Arabidopsis thaliana: one gene and its partners. Each later gene encodes a partner of the first gene's protein in a complex. Each region holds a gene or a part of one and is shown in the gene's direction. Other genes may lie near its edges. The genes, in order: PnsB4, NdhS, NdhT and PnsB1.

Evidence for each region.
Region 2: PnsB4 (region 1) and NdhS share a complex: the UniProt entries of both Arabidopsis thaliana proteins name them as parts of the chloroplast NDH complex.
Region 3: PnsB4 (region 1) and NdhT share a complex: the UniProt entries of both Arabidopsis thaliana proteins name them as parts of the chloroplast NDH complex.
Region 4: PnsB4 (region 1) and PnsB1 share a complex: the UniProt entries of both Arabidopsis thaliana proteins name them as parts of the chloroplast NDH complex.

The regions. Positions count from the first base shown.
Region 1 is NC_003070.9:6,457,239-6,465,491, forward strand, and holds PnsB4 (NDH dependent flow 6), read left to right. Parts: upstream 1-3,164; 5' UTR 3,165-3,386; coding exon 3,387-3,452; intron 3,453-3,528; coding exon 3,529-3,570; intron 3,571-3,605; exon of another isoform or gene 3,606-3,657; coding exon 3,658-3,835; intron 3,836-3,935; coding exon 3,936-3,991; intron 3,992-4,079; coding exon 4,080-4,151; coding exon of another isoform or gene 4,152-4,226; exon of another isoform or gene 4,227-4,605; coding exon of another isoform or gene 4,606-4,611; exon of another isoform or gene 4,612-4,755; coding exon 4,756-4,869; 3' UTR 4,870-5,106; downstream 5,107-8,253. Other genes in the region: AT1G18720 (ER membrane protein, putative (DUF962)), read right to left, coding at 782-904, 1,034-1,105, 1,213-1,275, 2,058-2,420; AT1G18740 (ROH1, putative (DUF793)), read left to right, coding at 6,887-8,035. UniProt on the Arabidopsis thaliana protein: NDH shuttles electrons from NAD(P)H:plastoquinone, via FMN and iron-sulfur (Fe-S) centers, to quinones in the photosynthetic chain and possibly in a chloroplast respiratory chain.
Region 2 is NC_003075.7:12,415,897-12,422,998, reverse strand, and holds NdhS (NAD(P)H-quinone oxidoreductase subunit S), read left to right. Parts: upstream 1-1,534; 5' UTR 1,535-1,653; coding exon 1,654-2,406; 3' UTR 2,407-2,585; downstream 2,586-7,102. Other genes in the region: AT4G23895 (Pleckstrin homology (PH) domain-containing protein), read right to left, coding at 1-116; AT4G23885 (uncharacterized protein), read right to left, coding at 2,759-2,776, 2,961-3,106, 3,458-3,527; AT4G23882 (Heavy metal transport/detoxification superfamily protein), read right to left, coding at 4,332-4,873, 4,953-5,031, 5,117-5,292, 5,389-5,446; AT4G23880 (uncharacterized protein), read left to right, coding at 6,611-7,102. UniProt on the Arabidopsis thaliana protein: NDH shuttles electrons from NAD(P)H:plastoquinone, via FMN and iron-sulfur (Fe-S) centers, to quinones in the photosynthetic chain and possibly in a chloroplast respiratory chain.
Region 3 is NC_003075.7:5,928,224-5,936,099, reverse strand, and holds NdhT (Chaperone DnaJ-domain superfamily protein), read left to right. Parts: upstream 1-3,624; 5' UTR 3,625-3,947; coding exon 3,948-4,273; intron 4,274-4,359; coding exon 4,360-4,783; 3' UTR 4,784-4,990; downstream 4,991-7,876. UniProt on the Arabidopsis thaliana protein: NDH shuttles electrons from NAD(P)H:plastoquinone, via FMN and iron-sulfur (Fe-S) centers, to quinones in the photosynthetic chain and possibly in a chloroplast respiratory chain.
Region 4 is NC_003070.9:5,484,877-5,493,581, forward strand, and holds PnsB1 (NDH-dependent cyclic electron flow 1), read left to right. Parts: upstream 1-4,268; 5' UTR 4,269-4,437; coding exon 4,438-4,862; intron 4,863-4,960; coding exon 4,961-5,111; intron 5,112-5,198; coding exon 5,199-5,389; intron 5,390-5,461; coding exon 5,462-5,719; intron 5,720-5,798; coding exon 5,799-5,904; intron 5,905-5,990; coding exon 5,991-6,076; intron 6,077-6,154; coding exon 6,155-6,323; 3' UTR 6,324-6,427; downstream 6,428-8,705. Other genes in the region: NRAMP6 (NRAMP metal ion transporter 6), read right to left, coding at 98-190; AT1G15970 (DNA glycosylase superfamily protein), read right to left, coding at 1,668-1,979, 2,083-2,224, 2,339-2,422, 2,510-2,567, 3,156-3,618; CNGC7 (cyclic nucleotide gated channel 7), read right to left, coding at 6,428-7,147, 7,217-7,565, 7,651-7,964, 8,063-8,275, 8,363-8,705. UniProt on the Arabidopsis thaliana protein: NDH shuttles electrons from NAD(P)H:plastoquinone, via FMN and iron-sulfur (Fe-S) centers, to quinones in the photosynthetic chain and possibly in a chloroplast respiratory chain.

The DNA.
Region 1 (8,253 bases):
GTTTCGGTATCGCTTTGCGTTTACATATTAGTCACGTGATAGATATTTAGTCACTTTTTTTTTTTTTTTTTTTTTTTTTTGGAAACTAGATATTTAGTCACTTCATTACTATTATTCTGTCTTTCAACATTCATGTATTCTTCTTTCTTTTTTTCAACGCTGCATTATTATTCTAATTTCTAAGGATTTTTTCAAGATTGATACTATTAATAAATTGATTAGAGTATCAACAATAAAGAAAGTTGGATTCCCTCCCACCTCCGAATTCCAATCTAGAAGATGTTTATCTTTAGAATCCAAACATTTTAGGTGCCTCAAGCGGATTTTTTTATATATAATTTATATACTAATTATTATGATACACTGATATTAGTAGCTAGCTAGTATAAATAAAACACTAAGCTACATATTTAATCAATATGAATTTAATTTAGGTGATACTGTATTAGTGTTTTTATGATTACATAAAGAATCATAAAAGTTTATATTTAAGCTACCAGTTTTACTCATTAGTTAAACACAAAGAATTGATTGGTTCAAAACGGACTAAAACAAGTCGAGCGGAACAACAATTGACCTGTGAATATGTGATTGTAATACATGCAACGCATTTTGTTTATTTTTCTTGAAACATGAGTGACTGAAACATATTATATTCAATATATTGAAACATAGTTTACACACAAATACATCAATCCATGGATCATGGTGGTCTTATTATCATTTCGGTTATAGAAACACGACAATGGGTTCAAGTTCTTCAGTTATATATAATCCAAGCTTATGTGATCTTATTCTTCTTCTGCTTCTTTGCCCTATATTCCTTGATGTCACTTTCTACCTTGGCATTCACACGCGCTTGAAAACCGGGATATGGTTCATACCCGAAAACCGATTGAAGAACCTGTATTCATTCAAACATTTCCACATTAGCTTTTCATGTATTCTGGTTACAGTTTCCACAGAGCAGTATAATAAGGTAGCAGGAGATAACAAACAAATCACAACATAACATAACACCAACAACTTTTACCTCGAGCAACACGAAGAAAGGAGCCATGAGAAAAGCTTGGAGTAAATTGTCTAACAGCGCAGGTGCCCGTTTCTGTGAGTAGACAAGAATCAATAACATATGTGTTAGGACTCATGTATACGGATGACAAGACACAAAGGAGAATCAAAACAATGATTTCTAAAAGCCAGAGAACTTACCTCGAATACTCCATGGCCAACGAACTGCCCGGTCCAACATAACAGCTGAGATGCTAACCCAACCTGAGTAAAAAGACAATTAAATTGTTACAGTATCTACATAACAGAGAGAGTTGGCGTCTTGGTGAGTATTAACTGTTTTCCCCTTGCTGTTGAATACATATAACAAACTAATCAAATGATTCAGACTGAAGATACATATAAACTAATCAAATGATTCACAACACAGAAGATACATAAAAAAGCTCCTAAGTTACAGATGTCTCAAATACTATGGAAGAAAAACCAAACTTTAGTTAAACAAGTGATGTAGATTCTAATTATCTGAGACCATCCAAATGTTGGTGGTCAAGAACAACACTTGTTTCCGTCCAAGCACACATCAAATCCTCTTAACCAATGAGTCAACAACACTAAAAACATGACAAGTCTCCGGACCAAAGAATCAGAACCGTGCAAAGGTGGACAATTGCAGAACAAACTGCAATAACTACTAATCATGAATGTTCAAAGCTAGAGACATGATATTAGTACTGCTGTCTCAACGTTAACAGCTAATGAAGGGACCCATAGACAACAGATAGAGAGGACTAATGATATAAATAAATCTATTTCTTCTTCCCCGAGCATAACCAATGATATAAACGAACTTTCAAGTCAAAGCATAGAAAACAATGAACAATAAATGCATGAACCACACTCACATCATATAAATATACACATAGAGCAACACATGGATACACATAGTCATATACCCTCATAAACATGCTTCTACGCAATTATTTTCTCCAAAAATGAAGTTTTTTCAAAAACCCTAAATTGAAATTAGAGAAAAAAAATCTAACCTTTAAGGCAAGAGAAGATCCTAGTCGAACAGCAAGAAAACTGGAACCAACCCAGCAAGAGAAACACATAAGAGCAGCTACAAATCCAGATTTCTTATCCAAACCGATATAGAACAGAGCATAAATCAAGGCGAATATAAACCCAACGTTAAATCGCAAAACGCCGTCGAGGGTCAACGATTGAGAAAACCCTAATTGAGAGGGGTCGAAAATTGGGGTCGACGAGTGGAGGAGAAGTAAAACTGAGAAGAAGATTGGCCAAACGAAGATGATGTGGATTAGAATGTTGATCGGATTGCTATGGTAAGCACCGTAGAAGGCGAAGTGTTTCTCGAGATCGAACAATCCCATTATGCGACTCATGGATAAAAAATTCGTTGAGGAAGAGGTGTTTTTATGAGGAGAAGATCGGTGGAAATTGGATAATAGTCACCAAACAGAGGAGATTAAAGATATACACGGGAAGAAGACGAAAGTGGAAAGTTTGATTAGCAATTTCCCGAAAATGATGCTAACGTGCGCTTTTTAATAGCTAACATGCGCTTTTTAAAGCGATAGAAGTTGACTTGGCCGGAGATTTTCTTCCGACTTTTGACAAAATACTAGTCGCTAAGAAGAGTAGACGTGTTATTGTGATTGCTAACATGCGCGAATAAAAGCTGGTTTAGATGGATATACATCATTGAAAGTTTGGCAAATAGAACATACACTATTCAACGAATGATGTATTTGGGATGATTGCTAACATGCGCGCATAGGAAGTTGAATTAGATGGAAATATCATTAAAAGTTTGGCAATAGTTGCCAACGTACGCTATTCAACAAATGATGTATTTGGGAAGAGACATAAGCGGAAAGTTTGAATTTCACCAACCAAAGATTTATTAGCAATTTTAGTGTGGTTACTAACTTGCACGTCTAGAGGAGTGAACGTGTTTAGTGATTGCTAACCTGCGCGAATGGAAAGTTTGTTGGACGGGTAAAATACGAAAGTTTGTAGTTGAATTTTGCTGGAAATATCTTTACCACTCTTTAAGGCAAATAGTTGTTCCCAACCTGAGCGTTTTAGAAGGCTAAAATGTGTACTGTGATTGTCTAAATTGGGCTTTTAAAAGACAAAAAAAGTGTTATGCGATGTGATTGCTAACGTACGTTATTTTTTTATTTTGTTTATCACAAAAGTGAAGAGTGGACGATACCAATTCCCTTATCCACACATTTTCTGCCTCAAAAAATCTAATCTTAAAGATTAAAATAAATGAAAAAATAAAAAAGATTACACCAACATTTTTTTTTTTTCTTCTCCATTGCCACCATCAAGAAGTAACAATGGCTGAAGCTTTCACAAGTTTCACCTTCACAAATCTTCATATTCCTTCTTCCTACAATCACTCGGTACATATTATTTTATATTCTTACCAAAAATATTTCATTACGAAAAAAAGTTTAAGAATTGTGTATTGTGTTGTAGCCGAAGCAGAATTCAGGACCGAATCATGGATATTGGCTATCTGTAAGTAATTTTCTCTAACTAAGACTAAAATTAGAAAAAAAATCTCCATATTCTTGTGAATTTACGTCTTAGAATTTGAAAAATTAGAAGAATGTTAATGAGAAGAGGGAAAGGAATTTGATGAGAGGAAGCTTATGTGTAAGAAAGGCATTGCCACATGATTTGCCATTAATGGCTGTGATGGTTCAACAAATAGAAGGAATGCGTGATATCATTACAGAGAAACACGTGTGGCATCTAAGTGATAAAGCTATCAAGAATGTTTGTAAGTTAAACACTTGGGGTTTCTTGAGAGATTTTATTTTCTTTCTTAGACTTTTTTTTCTTCTTTTTCTTATGTTTTGATATTGATCTTGATATGGCAGATATGTTCTACATCATGTTCACTTGTTGGGGATGTTTGTACTTCGGTTCAGCAAAAGTATGAAAACAACAACTCAAACTGAATCTTTTGATACATTTGCTGCATTGGGATCTTAATAGTACTTTGTGATATTGGATCAATACAGGATCCATTCTACGACTCAGAGGAGTACCGTGGAGATGGAGGGGATGGAACTGGATATTGGGTCTATGAAACTGTATGTATCTCTCCCTTTCTAATACTATTAGGAAAGAAAGAAAAAAACTTAGAAATGCATACAAATTATAACTAGGGATGTTGCAATGGACCGACCAACCCGCTGTGGTCTTACTAGACCCTGTGGACCAGTTCAGATCTAGTTTGACCTCAGACTATCCCACCTTGGTCTTAGTAGGCCATGTAGACCTGTTCAGAGCCGGTTTTGAGTACTCCTCCATGTGTCTCAGCATGCGATAAACCTCCCTAAACAAAGAAAAATAGGTGGCTTTTAGGTTAGCGTTTACCGTTGGTATATATGCACCCAAAAATATGAATCCACAACCTTGATCATCTAAACGAAAGTCACAATCTGATAGATGGTAGGTAACATTGATCCATCCTATTGATAGATCAATCATGCTTAGTAAGTTTGAGCCGGGTTGGGCTTGATATAATAATTCAAACGTTAACAGATCTGATGGTAGGTAACATTGATCCTAAGTTGGGTCGGGCTGGGCTTGCTCGGGCCATTGACCTTTGGTATATCATCACAGATTCACAATGTGTACAACTATTATAAGATTGGATAGAGTTGTTATTGTGTTTTGGGTTATATGATGCAGCAAGAAGACATAGAAGAGAAAGCAAGAGCGGAGCTATGGCGTGAAGAACTTATCGAAGAAATTGAACAGAAGGTTGGTGGCTTAAGAGAGCTTGAAGAAGCTGTTACTAAGTAGAAAACTAACTTGTGAATCATAAACCACTTTACATACACATTATATATTTTCTTATATCAGTCATGCAACATTATATATACTCTCTAGCTTCCATATATATAATATATGTTATGTACTTCTTTGTTGTCTTGTGTTCTGAATCATTGAACGATCATGTTAGGAGCAATTGTCTCCTTCAGAAATTTATTGTTGACGACATCCGATGTCTTAAAAATATAAATAATTATGTTTGGTAAACTATCTTAATTTGCTTTTCTTGATTTCTTCGGTCGCAAGTTGGTCAGAGTGAATATTTATTATTTTTAAGTATAAAAAATTTAGTCAATTGGGGCTAAATTAATTGGTCGTATAGACTGGAAAGTGAGTCTGATGAGGAACAATTAGCGGGAAATACGCTTCTGCACGATTCTACCTGACAAAAACCAAAACTAATCAATCTTTAAAAACAAAAAATAAGTTAGCAGAGGTGAAGAAGGAGAGCTTGTCATGTCTTTGTCAGTAACCTTCGTGCTTCCATGTTTCAAAGCCTCTTCGAGCTTGTAATTGTAAACCACACGTGTGGTTTATTGTTTTTGTTTTCTTTTCAAATTTAAGTTTAATTTTCAGATATTTCTTTTTTTTGTGTGTGTGTTAGGAACACATGACAGGAGATATGATGTAACATTTTTATTTAAACAAAAAAAAGATCTGCATCACTGCATGTAGTGTATTTTGTCGTGTGTCAATTAATTCTTATAGTTGTACAATTTTAATTCTGGCCCAAACATGATTGATGACTTGTTAATGACACATATTTACCATATTCCATTATAATTATTTTTTTTCATTATACAGTTTCATAATAATACATTTCAATTTTCGGTTACCAAAAAACACCATTACACATTTCAACACAAAATTTATACTATCATACGATTATATAGACAATCTCGTTTCCGTCAGCCTCCTTGTGGATCTTGAATGTTCAATCCACACCTCCACATTTTGTAAGTAAGATCTTGAAACTCCTTCTTCAAACCTCGATCTATCTGATTAATAATGAGCGTAATAAAACGATTTTCTCAAATGAATCTAGTACCATCCATGCTACTGAGTCTCTTGTTACGCACTATACGCAGTCGTCTCATCTCCTTCTCGCTGGAGGATATCACTATCAGCATTTCTCTCCTTGAGTTTTACTTTGGTTCTATCAATTCACCTCATTAGTTGTGATACAACTCATAGTTATCTCTTTTAATAAAATGTTATATTAGCCTTTTTTGGTGTGTTTTTGAGATTTTCATTGTACAATGTACACCTTTTTTTTTATTTGGTGTAAAGTTTAACATTAAACCAAAAAAAAAAAGGATATAGACAAAATTACATGTCAACATTTTTGTGTCCTTGAGCATTCTAGAACGACGAGAAAGAATCAACCAGGACCGAGTCCCTTTACTTACCAATCTCTCTCTTCAATACACGCCAACGAAGACTTAGCTGGCTTTTTATCCACATGTGCATTGCATTGACCAAGTCTCTGTCACAGCTCCCATTTTCTCCACGTGGCACCCATTAATGTCTCATTCTCGACTTCATATACCACAGCCCCGTGACCAATGAATTTCCTCAAACTGAGATTTTATTACAGACAGATCTGTGTACTTTTATTTTATTACCACTAGACGTGTCCACTGCGTGTACTGTACCGAGTAACAAAAAGAGAAAATAAAAAAGGAATGAGAACACACAACAAATCAAATTATAGCTTTTATTTCGTCACACCTTTCTTTTTATTTAGTTAAGGAAAATGAGAAAATTATCCAATATTGAATGTTTCTAAAGCAGATATTAAAATACGCGGTCAAAATTCTCGCTTTATAAACACATCTCTTCTTCTTCTAGCTTTCATCAATCATCATCATCACTCTCTCTCAATCCAACAAAGAAAAAAAAAGTCTTCTTCTTTTTTTACAAGTCTGAGAATTTTCTACAGAAACAAAAATCTGATTGTTTTTCCCACTTTGCATCTGTTTTGAGGATGCCAGCTACGGATTTTCAAGGATCATTTGGAAGGTCGTTGCTAAGTTTACGGCGAGACCAAGTTGACTCATCAACAGTCGTCTCCGGAAGTAGTAGCCACCACGAGCCAAGCACCATGGAGGTTGAGCTAGATTCGTTTCAAAGACAAGTCGCTGAGAAATTCATCGATCTCAACGCTTCTTCAAACGACCTTCTCTCTCTCGAATGGATCGGAAAGCTTCTTGATTCTTTCCTCTGTTGTCAAGAAGAGTTTCGAGCTATCGTATTCAACCACCGATCTCAGATCTCTAAATCTCCGATGGACCGTTTGATTTCAGATTACTTCGAACGGAGCATCAAAGCTCTAGATGTCTGTAACGCCATCCGCGACGGTATCGAACAGATCCGTCAATGGGAGAAACTTGCCGATATTGTGATCTCTGCTTTAGATAGTCACCGTCCGATCGGAGAAGGTCAGCTCCGGCGAGCTAAGAAAGCTCTGATTGATTTAGCAATCGGAATGCTTGACGAGAAAGATCATCCTTCTGGAACCAATCTAGCTCATCGTAACCGTTCATTCGGAAGAGTCAAAGACAGTCACCACCGTTCGATTGGTCATTTCAGATCTCTTTCTTGGAGTGTTTCAAGATCATGGTCAGCTTCTAAGCAGTTACAAGCTTTAGCGAGTAACTTGGCAACGCCTCGACCAAACGATGTCGTTGCTAGCAATGGTTTAGCTGTACCGGTTTACACAATGACTTCGGTTTTGCTTTTTGTGATGTGGGTTTTGGTAGCTGCGATTCCTTGTCAAGACCGTGGATTGCAAGTTAACTTCTTTGTGCCTAGGCATTTCCAATGGGCAGCTCCGGTTATGTCGTTGCACGATAAGATTGTTGAGGAATCTAAGAGAAGAGATAGGAAGAATTGTTGTGGTTTGCTTAAGGAGATTGATAGGATTGAGAAGAGTTCGAGGTTGATGAATGAATTGATCGATTCGATTCATTTCCCGTTGAATGATGACAAGGAAGTTGAGGTGAAACAGAGAGTTGATGAGCTTGTTCAAGTTCGTGAAGCTTTGAGAAATGGTTTGGATCCGTTTGAGAGGAAAGTAAGAGAAGTTTTCCATCGGATTGTGAGAAGCAGAACTGAGAGTCTTGATTCTCTTTGATCTTGCACATGTTTGTCTGAATATGATGAATGATTCATGTTTGGATTTTTTGTTTTGTTTTTGTTTTTCTCTATTTATCCTTTTTGATCACTTGTAAAAAAGAAACTCAAAGAGTGTAGAAGTGTCATCTTCTCTTTGTGATGCTGATAGTGATTCTGTTCTTCTTTGTGTAGCTACTTGCTTAGATTGAAGTTATTTTTTCAATGAACAGTTGTATC
Region 2 (7,102 bases), on another chromosome or scaffold:
TCGTCCTTTGGCTGCGAAGATGATGGAGTATCGTGCTGAGAAGATTCTGCTGTGGGACTAGGAGCACTAAAGTGATCAGGTAATATGTTTAGCTTCTTAGGAGTACCATCATCCATGAATTGAAACGACTCCAGAACCTTCCACTAGAAAATGAATCAAAGCTTAGCCAGAGATGAAACTACTCTAAAACTCTCAGCTTGTAGTACATTGATTCCCCAAAAGAAGTCGAAAAAATCACATAGTTAAAAACTTTTTTGTCCATTCAAGAGATGTCATCTGAGCATGATCTAATCTAGATTCTGATATGAGACAAACTCCTATATGAACTTTAGCATTCCATGAACATTATTTAATCTCCCTAAATGACTTGTCTCTCAGTCTCTATCTTATGCTTATTCTTATCATAGATCTAATCCACAAGTATGTATGTATCATCACTTGGAGAGATATATAACTACTAAAAATCCTTATTCCTCACTGAGGATCAAACATACCTCTTTATATATCTTTCAACGCCGAATTTTACAATCCCACTTCACCAGAAATTTTGATATCCCTTGTGAGAAATCAGCTCGCTGTAAAAGAAAAACAAAGTTCAGCTTCTACAAAAAGAAAGAGGACGAAAATGAACTCTTTCTTTTTCCCATTCTAGATTTTATTAGCTCAAATTAAAAACAACAGAATCGAATTTTCTGGAAACCCTAACAAAATACAAAAACATTGAGCAGAAATAGAAGCTCGGAAGTCGGAATCGAATGACGGGAACCTCGAATAATTTGAAAAAATTGACTGAAGAGAAGATCGAGACCTTGTTTTTACCTGATCGAATGTGATCTCTGTATTCAAGGGAAAGTGTTTACGCAATTGGTTTTTTGGTTGAGTGCTTACTGCTTCAGCAGGAAGAAGATGTTGGGTTTGGGAATTTTACTCATAAAGAAACTTTAAATTTGGTACCAAAAAGACGCTTTTATCCCCCGGTTAGGTTGCGTCAGCCAGCTCTACCCACATGGGCATTGCTGCAGATATTACAAGTTTTGTAATTTGTTAACGAATGTTTGTAAACTTTTGACTAATCTTATCTACAATATAATGAATTTATCGAATCAATGTAAAAGTTGTTTTCATTCATGCTTAATACATTAATTGATCAAAGTTGCCAACTAAGTATTTGGTGATGCCGATGAGTGTAAAGGACAGCCTAAGACAAAAGTGTATGTCTAATTATGATTTGGGAGTATGGGATTCCAATTATTAATGTCGTTGACCCAAATGATTTATCTTCTTCTTGCTGCTTTTTTCTTAATAAACAAACAAATCCACATTATTAGCATTTAGCAATATGTTTAATTACATTACCATTGTTTTTAATCTAGGCCCATATCTCTTAAGAATATTCAAACTTGGTCCAGGTTAAACTTATGACAAAGCCCAAATGTTCCTACTCTTTCTCCTAAATCATTATTCCAAACACCGGTTACGCATTAACCGGTTCAGGTCCACTGGTAATTTGGAAATAGATAGAACTCATCTAACTGAAATCATGATATGTGGTCATTATAACAAGCGAATCAATCACACGCTTCTTCCTTCCTCTTCCATCTTCTTCATATCTCCCTTAGTCACCTCTACTCTACTCTGCAGGCAAAAATAGTTATGGCGACTTCTTCGATCACTATCCCGACCATTAGAACTCCGATTCATCGATCAAAATTTCTAGGCCAAACACATCAATTTTCAACTGTAAACCGGTCGGTTTTCCCGCCTCCAAAACAGCAGTCAAAACTGTATCAAGTAAAGGCCATGGGTAAATTCAATCTATGGGAAGTGATGGGAGGAAGAGGATTATGCAACGGAGAGAAAGGTATTGAGAAGGAGCTCCAGAGGAACATTGAAGACGAGCAAGAGACATCAAAGGCTGAGAACAACGAGACAGAGAGAGAGAGCGATGACAGTAACTTGTCTTTTAAAGTACCTGAAGATGGTTTCGAGAAAGAGATGATGGGTCTCACAGGAGGATTTCCCGGTGGCGAAAAGGGTTTAAAAACGTTTATCGAAAAAAATCCACCACCTCCTCCACCACCACCACCTGCAAAACAAGGAAGCGATGCATCCGCGGTTGCTACAGATAAGAAGCCGAAAGCGCCCAAGCTACCCCTTCTCATGCCGGGGATGATTGCTATAGTCAAGAACCAGAACAGTCCGTATCACATGTATTGTGGAATTGTGCAGAGGATCACTGATGGAAAAGCTGGTGTCTTGTTCGAAGGAGGAAACTGGGACCGTCTCATTACTTTCAGGCTTGAAGAGCTTGAACGAAGAGAAAAAGGTCCACCGGGTAAGAATCCAAAGTCTTGTATTCTCGAGCCTCTTATCGAACAGATGCAAAAGGAAGAGGCAGCACCATAAGTGATCTTCTCTTCTCTGTATGTAAGTTCCTGTGAATGTATATGTAACGTACCTTTGCGTTTTAGGCTACAATATTTCTGACTGGTTCTAAAAGAGCTTCATCATGTGATATAAAAAAAAGAATAAACGATGAATTTCAATCATAAAGCACTTAATAATAGAGATTCAAATGCACTCAATCAATGATGAATCAGTATAGAAGTTAAAAACTGCAATGGAGTAGTTTTATTGTTATCATTGGTTGTTGTAAACATCAACCATATCAGTTTCTTCTTGACTATCGAGTATATTCTGTAAATGGTAAAGATGAGAAGTGATCCACCATTCTTGTCAACAGATCATGTTGAAATGATCAGATGCAGCCTCCCAACTGTAAAAAAAATTCAGAAAAGGATAAGGAAGTTAGAAACAGAACAATATTATTAAATCATGAAAAGGGTTCTCTCAACTTGTAATTGGTCACATAATTATAACTTAGTAGTTGGTCACACATTATACTGTTAGATACATGTTCATCTAAGTGTTGTTATACATGTCAAAATGAAGTTACATACCAAAATGGCTTCCATTTCTTCGTTTGAAACTGGCGTGCGCTTTGGCTGCGATGATGCCTTCCCGCCAGTAGTCTTTTGGATGTTGTTCAAATTGGAGAAGAACAATGTATCAGCTTCATTTGCCACCTGACTCTTTCCCTCTGAAGCTGCAATGCCAGAAAGTAAATCGCATAACAAACAGATGATTACCCAAACCAAAAGCTAAAAAACATAAGAGCTTCTCTATAATGATTCGAGATTTGATAACAAACACGATTCGATTCAATGGCTAAACAAATCTGTGTATCCTTTGAATCTAACTATGTAAATGCAAATCAATCAGAGCGAAATAGATCGGAAAGCAAAAATTCACAGCCAAATGAATACAATCTCATATCTGATTCATGAAAATGAAACCGTACACAAAAAAAATTCGAATCAAGCGAGAAAAAGCCGAGCAAAATTGTGGAAAAAATAACATAGATTCTGTGTAGAGAGTTTCATGGATAATCGAAAACCTGAAGGATTAATATGTCTCTGAGGGAATTTGATGCGAGGAATCCTCTTCAAACCGTGAACTACGTTCATCTTCTTTTCGCTCTTTCGTTCTCGTCTGTGTACCAAAAGGAGAATGTTGACGACGGCGACTGGAAATTTTCTCTCTCTGTATTTTCCCGAACCTTCGGGTTTATTTTCAAAGTTTCTCCAAAAGTGGGCCATTTTTTGTGGTTAGGCCCAGATAAGTCTATATGACCCATTTAAAAGCCTCACAATGTTCGTTTCTCTGTTGGGACAAAAAAAATCCCTCTCAAGTCAAAACCATAAATAAAAATCAAACTAGGAATTTCTTTTTTGTTTTTGACTCAATCGTGTTTTTTGTTTGAGTGCCATTAATTGCCATAATTATGTTAATCTCAGATTCAGACTGAATGTTTGATAGCAAAGGGTAGAGACTAAGAGAGAACCAGGACTTAGTCAAGCGTAAAAATCTTTTTGGGTGGTTGGTCGTAATCCACCAAAATTTGGTAAGCTTTCAACGCGTTATCTCAATAAAAGTATTAACCACTTCTTTGTTTCTCTCTATTGTCTACACTAAATAATATATACGTTTCTATAAAAAATCCTAATAAATTGATAAAATATTTACTAATTTCCCAACAAGATATGTTTATTTTTGGTATCATTTAAAACATGAGTCCGGCCGAAAAAAAAGTTTATCAAGTTAATTGTCTATATGTGTTTTCTAGTCTGCCTTATTGTGGAAATCATTCATTTGCATTTCTTCATATACCTTACATGTTGAAAAGAATTTACCATCTTATTATTACTCAGCATTTGAGTCATAGCTAAGAGAAGAAACAGGCAATGAATGTATCGTCTGAAAGAACTGTATCAGTGGTGCGGGTAATGCAGCCTAGGGTTGGGAACTGGAAAATATGGTGGGGATTGTGGTGGAGCTGACTGGAACATACCAGCACCAGTGTATGGTGGTGGTGGTCTTCCTGGAAAAAAACTAGGAGGAGGGTATGGTATGGGTGTTGTGAAGCCAGGCACTGCTTGTGGAGGAGGATACACCATTGGAGGTGACATTGCCGCGTTAATGAAAGGCCTGGCATTGCCATTTTCATTTCCTACTCCTCGATATTGCCAGTTTGGTATCGCCATAGGCTCAATCTTTGTGTTCTTGCTTCTCTTATTTCCAAAACACATTAGAAGACAACACTTTGTTGGCTTCTTCTTTTTCTTCTCCATTGTCTTGTTTTGGTTTTGTTCCGGGGTTCTAGGAACATGGGAAGAGTAGTTGTCTCCAAGAAAAGAGACTAGTTCTGCCTTTTTGCCCCATTTCGTAAGCTTATGAAGCAATGTTGTTGGGTTGGCATCACCTGTGACTGTCAAGAGCCCTTGTTCTGCGTTATACTCAACTGTACTCACCCCTGTTTCGAAAATAATATTAGCTAGAATATTTATAACAACACTATAGCTTTAACAATATTTCACTAGTGGATCTATTACCAGAGACATTTAGCAACTTTCTCTTTGCTTTTGTCTGGCAGCCTTTGCAACACTTGATTCCAACTCTCAGAACGCAAGTCTACAGTTATTACACATAAAAAAAAACTCGTTAGAAAACTCTTAAAGGAGATGCAAAAACCTCTGGTGGTAAGAGAGAAATATACTCGAACGGGTGGAGATAGGTTTGCCATTGCATAAGCACCTTTACTTGAAACTCTAATGTAGAAGACGACTATAAATATGAGATAAGTTACTTTCAAAAATGAGTCCATAGACGTTTTGATATATTGCTGGATTCGCCTGAATTTATACAACTTTCCATGTTCTCTTGATATTGTACCTTTCAAAAACAAAAACAAAAATCTAAATGTGATTTCTTTGTTATTTTATCATCATAAATGACAACGATTAAAAAAACAAGTATGGTTCCACAAACTTGGTATCTTCATAATCAAGTGTAACGTCATTTGTTGAATATCCACGTACGAAATCATCTCCCTATACTAGTAACTGTTCCTTTTTAAAAATTGAGAAAACAATAATAGAGGATTTGAACTTTCTAGTAATGGAAGATACTTAGATACATACTTGTTTTGGGTGTGTATGAGTTTCTTAATTCAATTCATCTTCCGATTTTGAGTAATGACCAAGATCGTGTTTGTTATGCAGCCTTACTGCTGTGCAAGGCTTTCTTTCTCATATCAAGAAGCGCTTATACAAAATACTGTCAATTTTCCTCGTTTAAAACTCGACTTGACCTAATTGTACATTGTGAATAGGTTGGTTTTGGACGAACGGACTTTACGCCAAATTACATAAAGAATCTGTTATCTGTGACAAATATACACTTGTTTTCGTATTTGTTTTTTATCTTGGTTTTGTAAATATTATTCAATTATTTAGTTAGACCAGTTCAAAATGAAGTAATTGACCATGTCATATGCCGCCAGTGGCACGGCACCAATTTTTTTCAGTGGAAAGTTGGTTTTCTTTTTGTAAAAAAATATATGAAAACGTCTTGTAGTTGATTATTCCGCTAGATAATAATTAAAAATTGGATAAAGATGACCGATTTACTTAATGTCATTTCCAGAAGAGCAACATTAGAGAAAACTTTAAAGTCATGGTAAAGCTTATTGACTGATTAATGATGCAATAGAATCACTTTTCCTTGGTTTACCTTAAATTCATCAATAGACTATGGTTACATTCACATACGCAGATACTTATACGATCGTTGGTAAAAACTGATTATCTCTAATTTTTACCTTCAGATCTCTTACAATTTAACCAGTTATCTTCAATTCAATATAACCTTCCCGTAAATCAACATCGACTGTAAATTAATGGACTTGTCAATTGTTTTGTATTATTTGATTATGCTTATAAGATATTAACGTAATAGATGGTTCTTACACTTTTTGCATAGTAAAGCAAAGCAAACTTGAATAATTAAATTCTACTATTCTAGTATCCCACGGCAAAGTGACGTCATCTTCTTACCCCAAAGCACACTTCACTACGTGTCCGAATAATGGTAAAGTTGGTCGCCTATATAATTCTCTGCCCCACGAAAATTTATTATATAGAGAAAAACTTTCAAGATAACACAAAACCTTTCTCTCCCTATTTGTTGAAGAAGAAGAAAAAAAAAGAAAATGATGGATTCTCTAGCTAAATGCTTCAACAGGCTTCAAGAAAGGTACGACAACGTTCTAGAAGCAAAACCTATCTACAGAGACGACTTAGACATAACGTTGCCTCTGAACGAATCAAAGGAGGTTTCAGTAGAATCGACCAAAAAGTCTCGGTGCTTGCAGAGAGCCAAGAGGATTGACAAATCGCTGAGGTTTGAAGAAGGCGAAGAGGAAGAAGATGAACAGAATAAAAAGCCTCTGGCTAAGCCACGTAAGGTTGTGAGGTTTCAGTTAGAGAATAATAAGATCTTCGAGCCAAAGAAGACGGTGAGTTTTGATGATGATCACGAACTCAAACCAAAGGAGAATCCTCTGGAAGAAAAAGAGAGTTTGAAAATGGTTGAAGGGAAGGAAGAGGTCGTGAGGGTTAAGATCAAGATGACAAAGCATGAAGCTCAACGGTTGTTGTCGAAATGCAAAAACGACAGCGTTTTAAAGTTGGAGCATCTTATG
Region 3 (7,876 bases), on another chromosome or scaffold:
CCTCAACCGAAAAAATGCTTTTAAAAATCCTTGTAAATTTTTTTTGGCGGAAAATAGATTTACAAGGGATTTTAAAAGGGTTATAAAAGATTAACAAGGGATTTTAAAAGGGAAAAATGTCAAAAAAATCACCAACTTTCAAATTTGGGACGATTTAATCTTAAACTTCAGAGAAAACAAATAAATCGTAAAGTTTTTGTTGACTTTATAAATAAATGACAAAGTTTTTGTTGACTTCCCATTAAATAGGTTAACATAATTTTTTACGACGTTAATGTTCCGTCTATCTGCTCTGTTAGAACAAAACAATGTCGTTTATTGCAAAGACAAACGACGTCGTTTTGTCTGTTGAAACAAATTTAAACCCTAAATCCCCAAATCAATTTCACTATCTCAAATCCTTTGTAAATCTTTCAAAACACTTTTAAACCCTTTAAAAATCATTAAAAAACCTTTGTAAATCTTTTAAAGCCCTTTAAAATCCCTTGTAAATATTTTAAAACCCTTTTTAAATCCCTTGTAATTATTTTAAAATCCTTTAAAAACAATTTTAAACCTTTAAAAATCTTTTATAAACTTTTGTAAATCTTTTAAAGCCCTTTAAAATCCCTTGTAAATCTTTTAAAAACCTTTTAAAATTCCTTGTAAATATTTTAAAATCCTTTTAAAACAGTTTTAAACCTTTAAAAATCTTTAAAAAACTTTTGTAAATCTTTTAAATCCCTTTAAAATCCCTTGTAAATCTTTTAAAACCCTTTTAAAATCCTTTGTAAATCTTTTAAAACCCTTTTAAAATCTCTTGTAAAACTTTTAAAAACCTTTTAAATTCCCTTGTAAATTTTCCTTTTTAAATTCCTAGTACATATTTTAAAACCATTTTAAAATCCCCTGTAAATCTTTTAAAATCCCTTGTAAATCTATTTCCCTCCCAAAAAAATTTTTGTGGGATCATTTTTTTTGAAAAAATAATTTTGGCGGGAAATTTTTTTTCCGAAAACTTTTGGCGGAAAATGTTTTTGACGGGAAAATTTTGGCGGAAAATTTGTTTTGGAATATTTTAGGCGAAAAAATATTAAGATTCCATTTTGTTAACCTAAAATAATTTCCAAATAAGGGTAAAATGGTCATTAAAAATTTAAAGAGGGTAGAAATGAAAATGGATAAAATAAAAGGATAGAGTTGAAAAAGGGCATCATGAAAAAAAAAAGAATCTTTCTTCAATTAAACATATAATTACAAAATAATTTTAAAAGGAAATCTTGCAAAATCTGCCATATTCCACTCTATTTCTTTCAATCCCTGCCATATTCTGTAACTCCTTCCAACTCATGCCACATTTTGCTGCACGTGGAATTCAGTGGACGAAATTATCCTTAAGGTGGGTCAGCGCTCTGACGAAGATGGTGACATAACAGCTTTTGGCTGATGTAATGATACAAGACGAAAAATCATGCTGGAAGAATAAAGAATTAGGGGACAAAATAGTGGAGAACAACTGGCTTCTACTGTTGTTATTGGGTATTTAAAAATGACTTATTTAAACAAATTGGTTATCCAAAATTCTGCGGGGGACAACGTAATATATAATACATTAGGAGACATGATTACCTGATAGCGGGGGACAACGTAATATATAATGCGTTAGGAGACATGATTACCTATTAGCGGAGAACAATTGGAGCAAGACTTTTGTTTTAGTCTTCAGATCTTGTCCTCGAATAGAAATTCTCTTTTGCATCTACGTTTTGTCCTCGATTTCACCATCTTGCTCTATTATTATGAATCCTACATCTTATATGCAATTGTTCTCATTTAATAATTTTGAATTTTATTTAAATTTTTGCGATCTATTTTGATCCACAGATTAGTTGAGCGTTATTGTCTTCACCTACACGTTAACATATTTTAATAATATGTTATATCGGGACAAGTTCATATCGAATGAGTAATAGAATTGGATCGGGGACAAAGTCAGATCGAATGATAGACAAGATAATATGTAATAACTGAATATTTTTGTTGTTTTACAATAGAAGAAAAAAAAATCGTGTCGGTGAAAACAATAATGCTCAACTAATCTGTGGACCAAAATAGATGGTAAAAAATGATGAAATCAAGGACAAGATCTAGATACAACAGAAATATTGTGATGAATAAAATTGAGAGACAAATTTAATTGAAAGTTACATGTAAAGAATCTGTGCAGGTTGTCAAAGAAAGTGAGAGAGTGACAAAAGCGCTTCATCTTCGGGAAGATAATAATATATGGTTAAAGCGCACAGATTTCAAGGAAGGAGAGATAAAATAGAGAAGAAATGGAGAGGGACAAAATCGATATTTCAGTATGAAATATGACATGAGTTGTAAGGCCCAGCAAATTATGGCAGATTGCATAAGGATTGGAAAAAATATGGCATATGTTGTAATTTTTTCCTTTTTAAAAATAATCTAAATAATTCTATAATCAATATGTGAACGATATTATACTTTACAGATCTTTTTGTAACTTCACCTTAATTATGATAGACCTTGCAAACAAATAAATGCAACAAAAAATAGACACTAAAAAATCTCAACAACAATCTTTAAATTATAAAAAATCACATAAATATCTTCGGGATTCAAATTTTAATAATTATTTAAACGGATTTTCTAATTTATATCAAAACCAAATATATTGAATATAAAATATACAAATAGGAAATACATTAATTTAAAAGATACAAAATATTTAACAAGAAATTGTGTTATTTTTTGTTCAAAGAATTCGATATAAAATCTTCGAAACGATCCGATATTGATTCTTATTAGATTGAAATTGTTAAAATTTCAATATATTATACAATTTTTCTTTTTAAATTGAAATTGTAAACCGACTCGAAGTATATTAAATAAAAATATTATTAAAAAGAAAAAGAACAATTTGATTTTTAGTTATCACGGGACGGATTTATATGGCGGGACGGGTTTACAGGAGACGAGTTTACATGGTAGGACGGGTTTGGATGAGACGAGATTATATGGTGCTATGAGTTTAGATGGGAAAAATTTGGATACCACGGGTGTACTCCTAGAATTAACAATCAAATTACAACTATACAATAGTAAACAAAACAAACAATAATAACATAACAAATACAATTTTAATTTCAAATTTTTAGTTACAAAAAAATAAATAAAATCAACATTTTAGTATAAGTGTTAATCTTCTTTGACACCTCTAAATGTTATTCTTCTTTGATACATTTAAATGTGTAATTTTAATATAAAGTTACTAAACTACATATGTTCCATGGATTAAATTTGAAAACACCAAAAGTTTATATTAAATAATTTTTTTATAACAAATTATGAATAAAATAAAATATTATCCCGTGGTATGGTCTATCACAAGTCAAATCCTAAAAGATAAAATAACATATATTAGACTTATTAATATCATAATTGTGACTCAATAAAAAACATACACAACCTTATCGATAATTATTAATCATCACAAACAACAACAAACAACAAATTATATTTTGTGATAAAGAAAAATAAATAAATAAATTTAATTTACGGTATATCGCGGGTCATATCCTAATTATGATACAATTGTCTATTTTTACCCTATATATATTACAAACGCACACATTTGTTGCATAACATATTTAGACATCGCTTCCAAAGAAAGAAATCATTTATCTCTACATTATTTCTTCCTCTCATTGCCCCTCTCTTCTCAACGTTTTGTCTCTTATATCTTTACGTTTCATACTTTTTTTTTGTTGACATTTAATTATTTAAATTTTTTGTTCCTATGGACACTAGATAGGACAACAAAAGATATAAAGAAAATCTACACCACACATATCATGAGGTTCTGGAACAAGTTTCTGCGGTAAGAGAAACCAAAAACATGAAGGGCAGAAAAAAAAAGAACAAACCATCTTCAACACAGAGCCATGGCTTATGCAACTTCTACCTATGCACGAACCTCATGCATTATCCTACCCAAAATCCAAAACGGCGCGCATTTCACGGATGACACGAAAGCATTTAGAAGGATAACAGCAAGAAGAGTGACGCGTATATACGCGTCACAAGGCCCGACTAAACCGTCAAAACCATCTCCAGGAGTAGACACAAGAATCCACTGGGAAAGCCCGGACGAAGGCTGGATCGGAGGAAGATCCGACCCGGCCAAATCGGTTGATGAGGACAAAACCAATCTCCTTAGTGACGAAAAATTTGCAGAACTAATCAAAGACTCTTTTGATTCTCATTACCAGTGAGCAAAACAAACATTCTCATTACATATCTTTTTATTTTTATTTTTCAATATGTATTGTAACATGTAACAATAATCATTTTCAGATTCTTAGGTGTTTCAACGGATGCTGATCTAGAAGAGATAAAATCTGCGTACCGGAGATTATCTAAAGAGTATCATCCAGATACAACTTCACTACCACTTAAAACAGCTTCAGAAAAGTTCATGAAATTAAGAGAAGTGTACAATGTTTTGAGCGATGAAGAGACTCGGAGGTTTTATGACTGGACACTGGCTCAAGAAGTTGCGAGTCGTCAAGCTGAGAAAATGAGAATGAAGCTAGAGGATCCGAAAGAGCAAGATTTTAGGGGCTATGAATCAATACCTGATATGGTTGACCGGTTAGGTGGAAGAAACATGGAGCTTAGTGATCAAGCAATGACTGCTCTCACGTTCGATATTTTGATCGTATTATTCGCTGTTTGTTGTATAGCTTTTGTGATTGTTTTCAAAGATCCTTCTTACTAGGTAAGGAGCTTTGTATATACTTGGAAAATTCATATAGTTTATATGTAGATGGAAGATTAACAATTACAGATTATAAGATCATTTGAACTAAAATAAAGTGGTCTAGTGGTTCTGTTCCTCACCTTTTTTGTGTGTGTGTTATTTTTGGATTTTTTCTAAGCTATCCAAACATTGTTTTAGAGCTATATTTTGTTATGCTTACCTAGCTAATCCAAATAGTCTCATTTATATAAAACAAAGCGAACAAAATAGTAGTTTTGATAACTAATGCGGAATTCACTAGTTTGGGAAGTATAGTAGGAATAAAAACTAGGGAGATTTGCAAAACTACCCTTTTTTCACTACCTTTTGCAACAATACCCTTTTATCAAGTCTTATATATATGTAGCACCTGACTCAATCCTCCTTAGACGTGTTCCTTAGAACTGTTCGATGCACATTTTGACTACGTTTTTTTTTCTTTTTTTCCTAAGATGTAAATATTTCACTAAAAATGAAAACAGTTTAAGAGTATAATCAAAAGACTATAAATGGTCCCATGACAAAAGAAAAACATGAAGCATAATTTATCAAGCAAACTTCAGTCCATCCGCATAACAAACGCACATAAGCTAATAGAACTAGATGAAGTGATAAAGGATTTTGTTGTTCTTTCAGACTAGTTTGAGTAAATGAAGGGTGATAGCACGTGAAGAAGCCAAAATTGTCTGCACACTAAGCACTATAAGCCTTTCACTGGAAACCCAAATTGAGACGTCAACGGTTAAGTACTAAATGTCGTCGATCACATTTTGATTTGGAACATGGCTTGTGTTGTCATTGTCTCAATGAACTGTTTTAGCGAGGCTTCAATGTGAGCAAATTTCTCATTGACTTCTACTTCTACATGCATCTTCACGAGCTTCTCTTGGACGTCGTCAAAGCTTACTTTAAGTTGATCAAGTGTGTCCTTGTTATTCGTAGTCATTGTACGAATTTTTGTTCTGATACAAAATGAAAAACAAGGATATGGAAATTGATAAGAACAATAGTCTTTTGGTAGAAAAATTATGTGATTATCTTCTTATTTTTATACTTAAATAGGGTATACAACATGGACGTGAATATGGAATCATGGATTCATACAAAAATGGAGATAGGGGAAAGTGGTTCCTACTTCTATGACCACTAGTATTTATTTAGGGGGTGATTGACATTGGACTGTTAAGACTTTAAAAGCATTTGACAGTCCTTACAAGATTAATAATATTTTTAGACTTCAAGTTTCTTTTGTAAAATTCAAGATTAATAATATTTTTAAATATTTTTTTTCTCAAAAATCCATCAAAACTAAAAATTATTTATGATTCGATGATTTATTTTTGGTTTAGACCCTGAATGGATGCTGATTTTCGATTCAGTTTTTGGATTTAGATTTTAGTTTCTAGATTTTAGATTTTAGTTTTAGATTTTTGTTATTATATTTTTGTTTTAAAAACCCCAAAAAATTGGTTTTTAGTTTTTGAGAAAAATAACGTTGATGGAGTAAAAACTAGATTCCCTAAGTTTTAGGAAAACTATAAAATTAAAATCATGAATCAAAAACTACAACAAAATAGTTTTTCTAAATTGTAGGGAAACCAAAATTTTATAATCTTGATTGGTATAAAAATAAGTTTTTGAAAAACAAAATCTAAAAACTCTTACAAAATCTACAAAACATTCAAGGCCTTAGTCTATTGTATTCTATTTTGGTTTCAATGGATGCAATGAAAAAAGCACACTAAATCGCTAACAGACAAAACCACTTTATTTTTAGAGCGGACGATAAATCGCATGCGGATAAAAAAAATTCTACGTAAAAGTTATCTGTAGTTAGTACACCGCAAACTTTTTTTTTTTTTAATTCGCACTACTGCGGATTATAGTTTATGAATGATAAACAAAAGGGTGAATGAAATATCTATACATGGAAGAATATATAATTAAGGATCTACACATATCATTTAGTTATTTAGGTGGAAATTTTCTTGTAAATTAAATATGACATAATTGCCCCTATACAAACAAAGAATCAGTAGCCTTCTTCCGCGAGATATATTGTACCTATAAGAAAGAGACACAAAGCATTTAAGTCTTAGGTGTGTACCTATATATATATATATATATATATATATAGCTCCTTATCATTTTTTTGAAAAAAACAGTCGATAACAAAACTTTTACCATGGTTTTGAAAACAGGAAAGAAGATGTCGCTGATAACTTTGGATTATCGATAATTTTGAAAATATCATGATAATATACGAATTAGCAGGGTAAAAAAATGTTTACATATTACATTTGTTGATGGTGTATGAAGAAAGTAGAGTCGATAAAGTAAATGTTATCTGATAAAAAAGGAAAATGACTGCTAATCAAAAAATTAATGTGTTGCAGGGCGGTAAGTAAGCGACGAGGAAAAGTTTTTTTGACGGTTCAAGATGGAAGGATGAGACTGTTTTTGGACTAGGAGGGTTTGAACAGATGGTTTCACTTTTGTTATGAATTAGAGTTAGCACCTAATATAAATGTTACGTTAACTTTTTGTTAACGGCTAATATTTGTTTACATATAGTGATAATACCCTCATAAGTTTTGCATCAGAGTTACTACCTTATACAAACTGATATGTTAATACTTGGGTTATCGGCTAATATCATAAGTTCCTTGTGATTACAGATAGTTTCACTTTTGTTATGAATTAGAGTTAGCACCTAATACAACTGTTACGTTAACATTTTGTTAACGGCTAATACCTGTTTACATATAGTGATAATACCCTTAGAGGTATTAAAAATTTGAATTCATAAGTTTTGCATCAAAGTTACCACCTAATACAAACTGGTATGTTAATACTTGGATTACCGGCTAATATCATAAGTTTATGGTGATTTGAGATAGTTTCACTTTTGTTATGAATTAGAGTTAGCACCTAATACAAATGTTACATTAACTTTTATCTTTTGGACTGTGTTTTAATAAGGGAAAGAAGGGATACAACTTTCCATTTAGAAAGAGAAATGACGATGACGACTGGTTTCCCTAAAAATCAATAAATAAATAGCAAAAAAGA
Region 4 (8,705 bases), 970 kb from region 1:
GACTAACAAGACTGATTAAGCGTAAGATGTGGAGAGACTCAAAGTTGAGAAATAATAAAGTGTGGGGTTCAAAAAAAGAAAAGAGACGAGAAGAAACCTCAGGGACAAGAATCTGATTAGAATCAGAGTTTTCTATGAGAGGAGAGTTTGAGATACTTCTGTTGCTGCCACTTGCTGTTTCAGCCGCCATCTCCTGCCTCTCTCTGTTACGTCTCTTCTCTCCCTATCTATAATGCCAACATCAACAATTTACATGCAGAGATATATTTATACACACTACATGGCGTTTGGTCAAATGTCAGAGAAATATTGAATTAATGCAAATCTTTTTCCTTCATTTTTTTTCATTAATGCAAATGCCAAAACTATCTTTTTTGGGAAAGATTTTAACAAATGATGATTACAAGTTTTGACTAAAAAGGGAAGGGGTTGTTCTAAGGAATAATGGAGTATATAATTATTGAATTTTGTTTTCTAATTTGGTAGTTAATGCTTTGGCAATCTAATCTACATGTGTCGATTTTCTATCGAAAATATAAGAAGTAAAGCGTACTTATCAAAAGTTTACCACAATTCCCTCTTTCCCTCCCTTTAACTAAATCTTCGTTTACAGAAAACTTCAACTCCAAGTTATTTTATTTCTTCTAATTAGGGAAGTTAAAATGCGTAGGAAAAGCTAAATCAGATATTCTTCTAAAATTAGCAGTAAATGATACGTAAAAAAAACTTTCAATTTTCTTGTCCTCAGCTTAAAACTTAGTAATAAGCCAAAACGTAATAGAAAAGTTCTCTACCAAAATAATCATAATCCCCGGAGTAGTAAAGAAGAAGCGATTGTGAAATAGGGCCAAGTGGCCAACTTAACGGTAAAGATAAAACAAGGAGCCCACAACTCCACAAGGAAGTACGCGTGGTTACGACTTATGACAACAAGTGGGATCCGTACACTTTTTTTTGTTTTGGTAAGATTCGATAGTCAGTAGACAACACTCAATACCATATCAAGTTTTTCTCTGTTTCTTATTATAATCGACACGTAAATCTTGTTGACATATCAAGATTCAATGACACCTAATTAGTATAGCCCTTCCATTTCTCGAGTTTATAAGAAAAGAGTTGAGGAAACAAAAAAACCAAAGAGATTAAGAATTTACTAGTACTTTCTTCATTTCTTGTATGTTCATCCCCGGATGAATATAAAAAAAAACTTGTAATTTGACTGAGATGCCTACCAAAGGCTATATAACATACCAACCATTGGTTTCGATTATATATGTCCACAAAAAAAGTTATTAGAGAATATGCCAAAGATGAATTTGACGTCCACAATGCATGGCCGTTATTTATCAAGAATCGTTTTTTCACAACTCGATCGGTGATATAAAATCAAGGAATCTAAACTCAAAACAATTTTTTCCTTCCAGTTTGAAATAAGCTAAATTAAAATGTAGCATGTAATCGATTCACACAAATACGTCTGGTCTAAGAGTTCATCGCAACATTCTACTATGCATGAACCGATAACCAAAATACATCTATACAACACCAAAATACAAAACTAAGAACACGTCACGGTAACAAAACCTCGTTGTGTCAATTAATCTCTGGAAGCAGAACAAACAACATTGGTACTCAAATACGTTAATTAGCTTATTTCAGAATGGCTCTTATTTATCACTCTCTCTCTCGTTCTTCTTCTTCGCCTTCGTTGTTGTTGTTGTCTCTGCATCTACGCAACAGTCTTGGTATCTGAAGCAGCCTATGAGATGATCATTCGTGAGTCCAGCTGCTTGCATGAAGGAGTAAATAACTGTTGGACTAACGCTGCGAAAGCCTCTGCGTACAAGATCTTTGCTTATAAACTCAGCTTTCGATGTCTTCACAGGGACTTGGCGCTGATACCTGAATTGGCTCTGTGTAGGCTTGTTGTTCACAAAGTTCCACATGTACTTCTTCAATGATCCACATTCAGCTATAATCTGGATGAAGTTAAGAATTAACAGGCAGACAGATTATAATATTTAGACAAGTTCTAAGTTTTCAGTAATTATGATCAGTAAGTGTGAGCTTATGTTCTGTTACCTTGCGCACATGGCGTGAGTTATCGAGGATTGATCGTATCTTGACCTCTGATAGTAAGGAAATGGCAGCAGTACCTGGCGCTGTTAACTTTTTGTCATTCAATTCAGCTACAGCGACTGGATCGAAGTCCATAAAAACTTCCCTGTTTCAAATAAGAAGCAAATTAGGCAATCAGAGATCAGAGCTACTGGCTTAGCATCAGAAGTTTATATTGCGAATTCAAAATTCATATTACTAAAGAACTTGGTTTGGTTACCTGAGTATATGTCTTCTGGAGAGAATGTCGGTCCATGAGAGTTCGGCTAGAGCACCAGAGAGGCATAATAACTCAAAAAGCTTCCTACACAAGTTAACCAAGCGGTAAGAGACTCTTATAACTACAAAGTGTATCTCAGATAGAAGGAAAATAGTTGAGGATGCCACATACTTGTCGTCATGTACAGGAACTCCCCATTCTTCGTCATGGAAAGCAACATAGCACGGGTCTTTACAACGTAGAAAAACGCAACATTATTAGTCAATTTACAGCAGAGAAAGATATGAAGCATGAGAGAACAACAAAGAATAATGGAAAGTGCCTCTTGGCATGGAAACATTTATGCTCATTAGTATAGAGAATCCAGAAAACGCTGTTTGGCTTACACTAAAAGCATAAACGAAGTGGATCTATCAGCTAATCAAAACATCCTTCATCTAAATTTCATGGACACTGAGAAGTTAAAATATTTATAAGAGAACTTCAGGACAAGCTACTTCATAAGTTATGCAACATAGCAAATGATCTACACAATGCTCACTGAATAAAATACATAGCAATTGAAACATTTTGTTGGCCATTGAATTACTTAATATTCACATACAGAAGAACATAATTAGATCAAACAAAAAACACTAGCTCCTTGTCTCAATTCAGTCCCATTTGATTCAACTAGATAAGAACTTTATCATCTCACACAATCAGGCTAAACTCAATCTCACATTCACATTTTCACTCATTTCATTTATTTGAATGCATCTAAAGTCAAAAGCTCTCTCACTATGCAATGTGTGATAGGTGAAAGTTTGATGCTTACCAGCTTTAGGTGTGATCCAAGCACACCTTTTACGACCATCAGCGAAGCAATCACCAGAAACCTTCTCTTCTTCTTTCCCAACACTCAGCTTCCTTGTAGAAGAGACAGACCCACTTCGCCTCACAACCTTCTTACAGCTCGAAGAAGACGCCACGCTCAAAGGCGATGACTCACACGAAGACGAAGCATCAGAGGAATACGAAGCAGTCATTGAAGCACTATTCTTTCTCAAAATCGAAGAGCAAAGAGACGAGCATTGCTTCAGAGTCGTCCTTGGTGAAGCCGGAGTAGTTGGTTTCTTCGCTTTCTCATCTTTTGAGTCGATGATGGTCTTCTCCATCATCGGCTTCTCCAGTTTCATCCCCGGTGGTTTCCTCTGCAGCTTGTTCCCGGTAGGACCAAGAACTGATCGGAACTCTCGCTCATCGGAATTTACGGACCGGAATCTAGGAGGAACCGACATTGACCCGATTCTCACAAAAAACTGCTTTTTGATTTCACAGATCTATCACTGGATCACACAACAACAACAAAATTGCTATTTCCAACAGTCTCGAAACTTATTTCAAGAGATTATATATCGGAAGGCCTAGACTTTACAGCTACATTAGCACCAAAAATGAAACTTTTTTGTCACCGCTAAATATCTCATTTTTAGGAATCTTCTAGTAAAACTAAACCAAGTTGCTTGCTGTGTTCACGAGAAAAGCAAGGTTAGAAACAATGAGCAACAAAATAAAATCTTTGAACAATGAAGAAAAAAAAAGCTTTTGACTTCAGAAAAACCCAGAAAAAAAAAAGAAAGAAAGAAGCTTTTTCTGATCGACGACGAAACGAATCAAATCGAGAGAGAGAGACGAGGAGAAAAGGTCATTCACCAGTCACGACTTAACACGTCATCGTTTGGTTCTTCTGCTTTTTCTGTTCTTTTGTTCCTCGACCCGACAATGAAACGGGTCCTTATTGCTCGACCCGACAAGTTAAATGGTTTAATTGCTTACTGTAATCAGTTGGTTAATGCTTCTGAGTTCTGAGATTAGGAATGTTTCTTTGCTCGTGCGTATCAACCAATGTAAAGACAAAAGTTTTAATTAATCGAACAGAGAATAATTTCTGGAATTGCCATAACCAAAATAAATAAATTAAATGCTAAGTTTTCTTCTATGGTCGGAAAATTGCCACAAAAGGGACCCACTTATCCTAAGTTCCTACAGAGATCTGTTTTCTTTCACAACATTTAAAAATCCAAACTTTTCTTTCTTTGGCTCAAAAAAACCTTCCAATGGCTTCTTCACTTCCTCTGTTACCCAAACCCATTTCCCCATTCTTTAAAACGCCGCCGTTTTCTACCTCCAAACCACTCGTCTTCCTCAACTTTCAAACTCGTCTTACGTCGAGATCTTCCGATGTATCGGTCAATCTCAAGAAGAAGAATAATCCGTGGCTCGACCCGTTTGATAGCGGTGAAGACCCGGATAACGAATACGGGTCCTTGTTTGCCGACGGAAAACAAGACGAGGATCCAAGACCACCGGATAATCCTGATAACCCTTACGGCTTCTTGAAGTTTCCAAAGGGTTACACCGTCGAGCTTGCTTCTTTACCGTTGAAAATCAGAGGAGATGTTAGACGATGTTGCTGCGTTATCTCCGGTGGCGTTTACGAGAATCTACTCTTTTTCCCGACTATTCAGCTAATCAAAGACAGGTAATAAAAGTATAAGACTCTGTCTCCGATTCGACATTTTTTTAAAACCTTAAACTGAAATGCAGAACATTGTCCGTACGTTTCTGTTGTTTTGTAAGGTATCCTGGTGTTCAGGTAGATATATTAACGACTGAAAGAGGAAAACAAACATACGAGCTAAACAAAAACGTGAGATGGGCCAATGTGTATGATCCGGATGATCATTGGCCTGAACCAGCTGAATACACAGACATGATCGGACTCCTCAAAGTTTGTAACTTTCAAATATTTCAACGTTTTTTCTATCTTTCCTTTATCAGACTGCTTAGTTAACTTTTCTTTTAAGTCATGTTTCAGGGAAGGTACTATGACATGGTTCTGTCCACGAAGCTAGCAGGGTTAGGCCACGCAGCGTTCTTGTTCATGACAACGGCTCGAGACAGGGTTAGTTACATTTACCCGAATGTTAACTCTGCAGGAGCTGGTCTGATGCTGTCCGAGACCTTTACAGCAGAAAATACCAACCTTTCAGAATTAGGTTATAGCATGTGAGTTCCTTGAAACCGAAGAAACTGCAGGTTTTTTTATCGCCTGTCTAAATTGACTGTTGATGGTTTCAGGTATACTCAGATGGAAGATTGGTTAGGAAGACCGTTTAGGAGTGTTCCAAGGACTCCTCTGTTGCCACTTAGGGTATCGATTTCACGGAAAGTGAAAGAGGTTGTGGCTGCAAAGTATAGGAATGCTGGAGCAGTGACGGGGAAGTTTATAGTGATTCATGGTATTGAATCAGATTCTAAGGCATCAATGCAATCAAAAGGAGATGCTGATAGTTTACTTTCACTTGAAAAATGGGCTAAGATTATAAAGGGTGTAAGGTAATTATTACACACCTTCAAAATGTGAATTTTTTGCTTAGTTTGAAATTCTCTGAGATATGATTGTGAACAATGCCAGGGGATTCAAGCCGGTCTTTGTGATTCCACATGAGAAAGAAAGAGAAAACGTTGAAGATTTTGTGGGTGATGATACATCTATAGTGTTCATCACAACACCAGGACAGGTATGCATGCTTATCTGTCTGTATTTGTTATGAACAAAGTTGAATTCACTGATCTTACTTTGATTCCTTTTCTTGAGCTTACTTAGTTGGCTGCTCTGATAAACGATTCTGCTGGAGTCATCGCAACAAACACAGCTGCGATTCAACTAGCTAATGCGCGAGACAAACCATGGTGAATACCTGAGTAATATAAAGAGTACTGATTCAATGTTTTCAAGAACTAACATGTGTGTGCTTCTTTTTCTTCCAGTATTGGGTTGTTCTCTTCAGAAGAGAAAGGGAAGCTCTTTGTACCGTATGCAGAAGAGAAGAGTAACTGTGTAATTATTGCTTCGAAGACTGGAAAACTAGCAGATATCGACATTGGAACTGTTAAAAATGCAATGCAGGTCTTTGAAGGATCATTGGCTCTCGTGTAGATAACTTTACAGTTTCTGAAACAAGTTCTATATATAGAGCATTTATGTGTATAAATCAGTTATGTAGTCTCTGTTCTGATGTTGGCCTCTCATCAAGAATTGGATTATTCAGCATCAAAATCAGGTTCCGGAGGCTTTTGCAGATTTATCAAGGTCTTTGAACTCTCTGAGCTCCTAAGTCTGTGCCCTTTCAATGCATTAGCAGCAAATCTTGATGCAAATATCGTTGAACGCAGTCTAGAAGAAGACTCACTTCTTGTGATAACCATAGGCCTCTTGTCACTCTCATCATCATATTCATCTTCATAACCCAATTCTTCTTCTTTTTCTTCAATCCGTCTCAATTCAGCGTTTTTCCTTCTTGAATAGCGACGCCAAGCAGCTTGGATGAAGCAAGAAGCCCAAGTTCTCCATTGCTGAGAGTAAAACCTAAATGTTTGTTGAACCTGTCGACTATGAAGTCTCCTAAACTGACTTGCTACAAACTTCAGCTCTTCAGCTTCAAGAGCGAAAGCCTCTACTTCAGTCAGAGCCTTCACTGTTCTTGTGGAAGAAGGTAAGTTTGAGCCTGCTTTAGGGTCAAGAGCCCATGTCAGAAGCTCTTCACCACAAAAGTCTCCTTCTTTTAACAACCCTCTGTTGAAGAAACCGCTTCTTCCCCCATCTGTTGTTACACTTTCTAACCGGCCTCGGATTATGAACATCATTTCGTTAACGGGGTCTCCTTCACGCACAATGTAAGTGCTTTCCGTGAAAAGACTCGGCTTTAATCTCTCACAGATTGCGTCAAGTAATCTTTCATCCATATTAGCAAACAGAGGAACCTGTAGAAACAGAACACATAGTTAGTTAGTATCTCAAGCAATTTTAGCATTCTGATTGTGAAAACTTACCCTCCTAACTAAATTCAGACAGAGATGGCGTTTGATGTCTCTTCTGAGATCCTTAGGTAAACTCTGAACTATGTTTTCTTCGTCTACACCTCTTGTCTCTAACCATTTGTATTGATCATAGCGTCTGACTCTTTCCCTCAAATTTTGTGGAAGTGACCTGTGATGCATCCACTGTTCTGAGTCACGTCTTTTGATCCTCATTTCCTCGAGACGAACAGTAAGTGACTGAAGATAAGTCTGCATATTCCCGATGAGAAGCGCGAAAAGAAGAAGCCCAGCTATAGCAATCGCAATGGAAAACAAAACCTCTCCTGGAAATGTACTTGTCTGCAGCCCTTGACCTAACGTGCTGTTCATGAAAACACCAAAGATGTCAAGAGTACTCTGCACAAGCTATCGGTTGAACCAATGACAATGAGTTGCCCCCGCCTTACCTGAGATTTTGAAGACCCCACCATAGACAATAACAGAACTTGGAGAAAAATGTTGTTGATGATACAATGCCTGAAGATATAGCCTGACCGTATATCCCATAGTTAAACTTTGAATCATCTGCTTTAGCAGAACAATTGCTCTTAAGAAGCTCAGGGACTGTTTTGATCCATTCAGTTTCTCCACTGCTCACAAATTTAGTCCCACAATACAGAATCTGAACACAGAGTCGCGGATCTGGCTGAACTTTACACGCAAATCTCCAACAAGTATCGTTACGCTCCACTGACAACATGTACCAAAACGCTCCAGTTATCTGTCAAAATGTGTTTGTAAAGTCAGAAAGTGACCAATGATGAATAAATGTCTCAAAACACTAATTAAGAAGAGTCATATATACATAGAAACGCTTACGTGGCTTGCAAGCATATACCAGAGAAGATAATAAGCAGCACCAGCCCAAGCTCCTTCGGCAAAAGCTCCTGCAGTTTTCTTCAACTCTGATGTTAACGGAATAAACCTCACGAATCTCGGAATATACTGCACAATTACAATGTTCAACAATGCCGTTTTCGTTGGTAACACATCCGATCCTTTAGACCCGTGAAGAAACTTCCACACTGCAATCTGTAATATCCACACAAAACATCATAATCAATCCCAAAAGTCCAATATTTTTAGTAACCATCAAAGGATCTTTTCACTCTGTTTTACCTGCGGTAAAGGCAGCACTGCAAGAAAATCGACGACGAAATAACGGGTTAAATAGCGTTCAGCGATCTTTGCAGGATCAATCACAAGCTCACCACGACCAAACACACGAGAAGAAGGAGCTATATAAGCTGTACGAAACTGAAGAGCCATTCTAGTTAAGTAAAAAACGTCAACAATGGTTCTAAGAGTCGTCGTTGTAACAGCTAGTTTCGTATCAATCCCTATACAGCTGCTTCCGGAATTATCGACAATGGGAAGATAGAAGAACAAAGGATCAACAGAGACAGCTAAAATACACGAAATGACGAACAATCTGTTCCATACGAGAAGTGTTTTGTCTTGA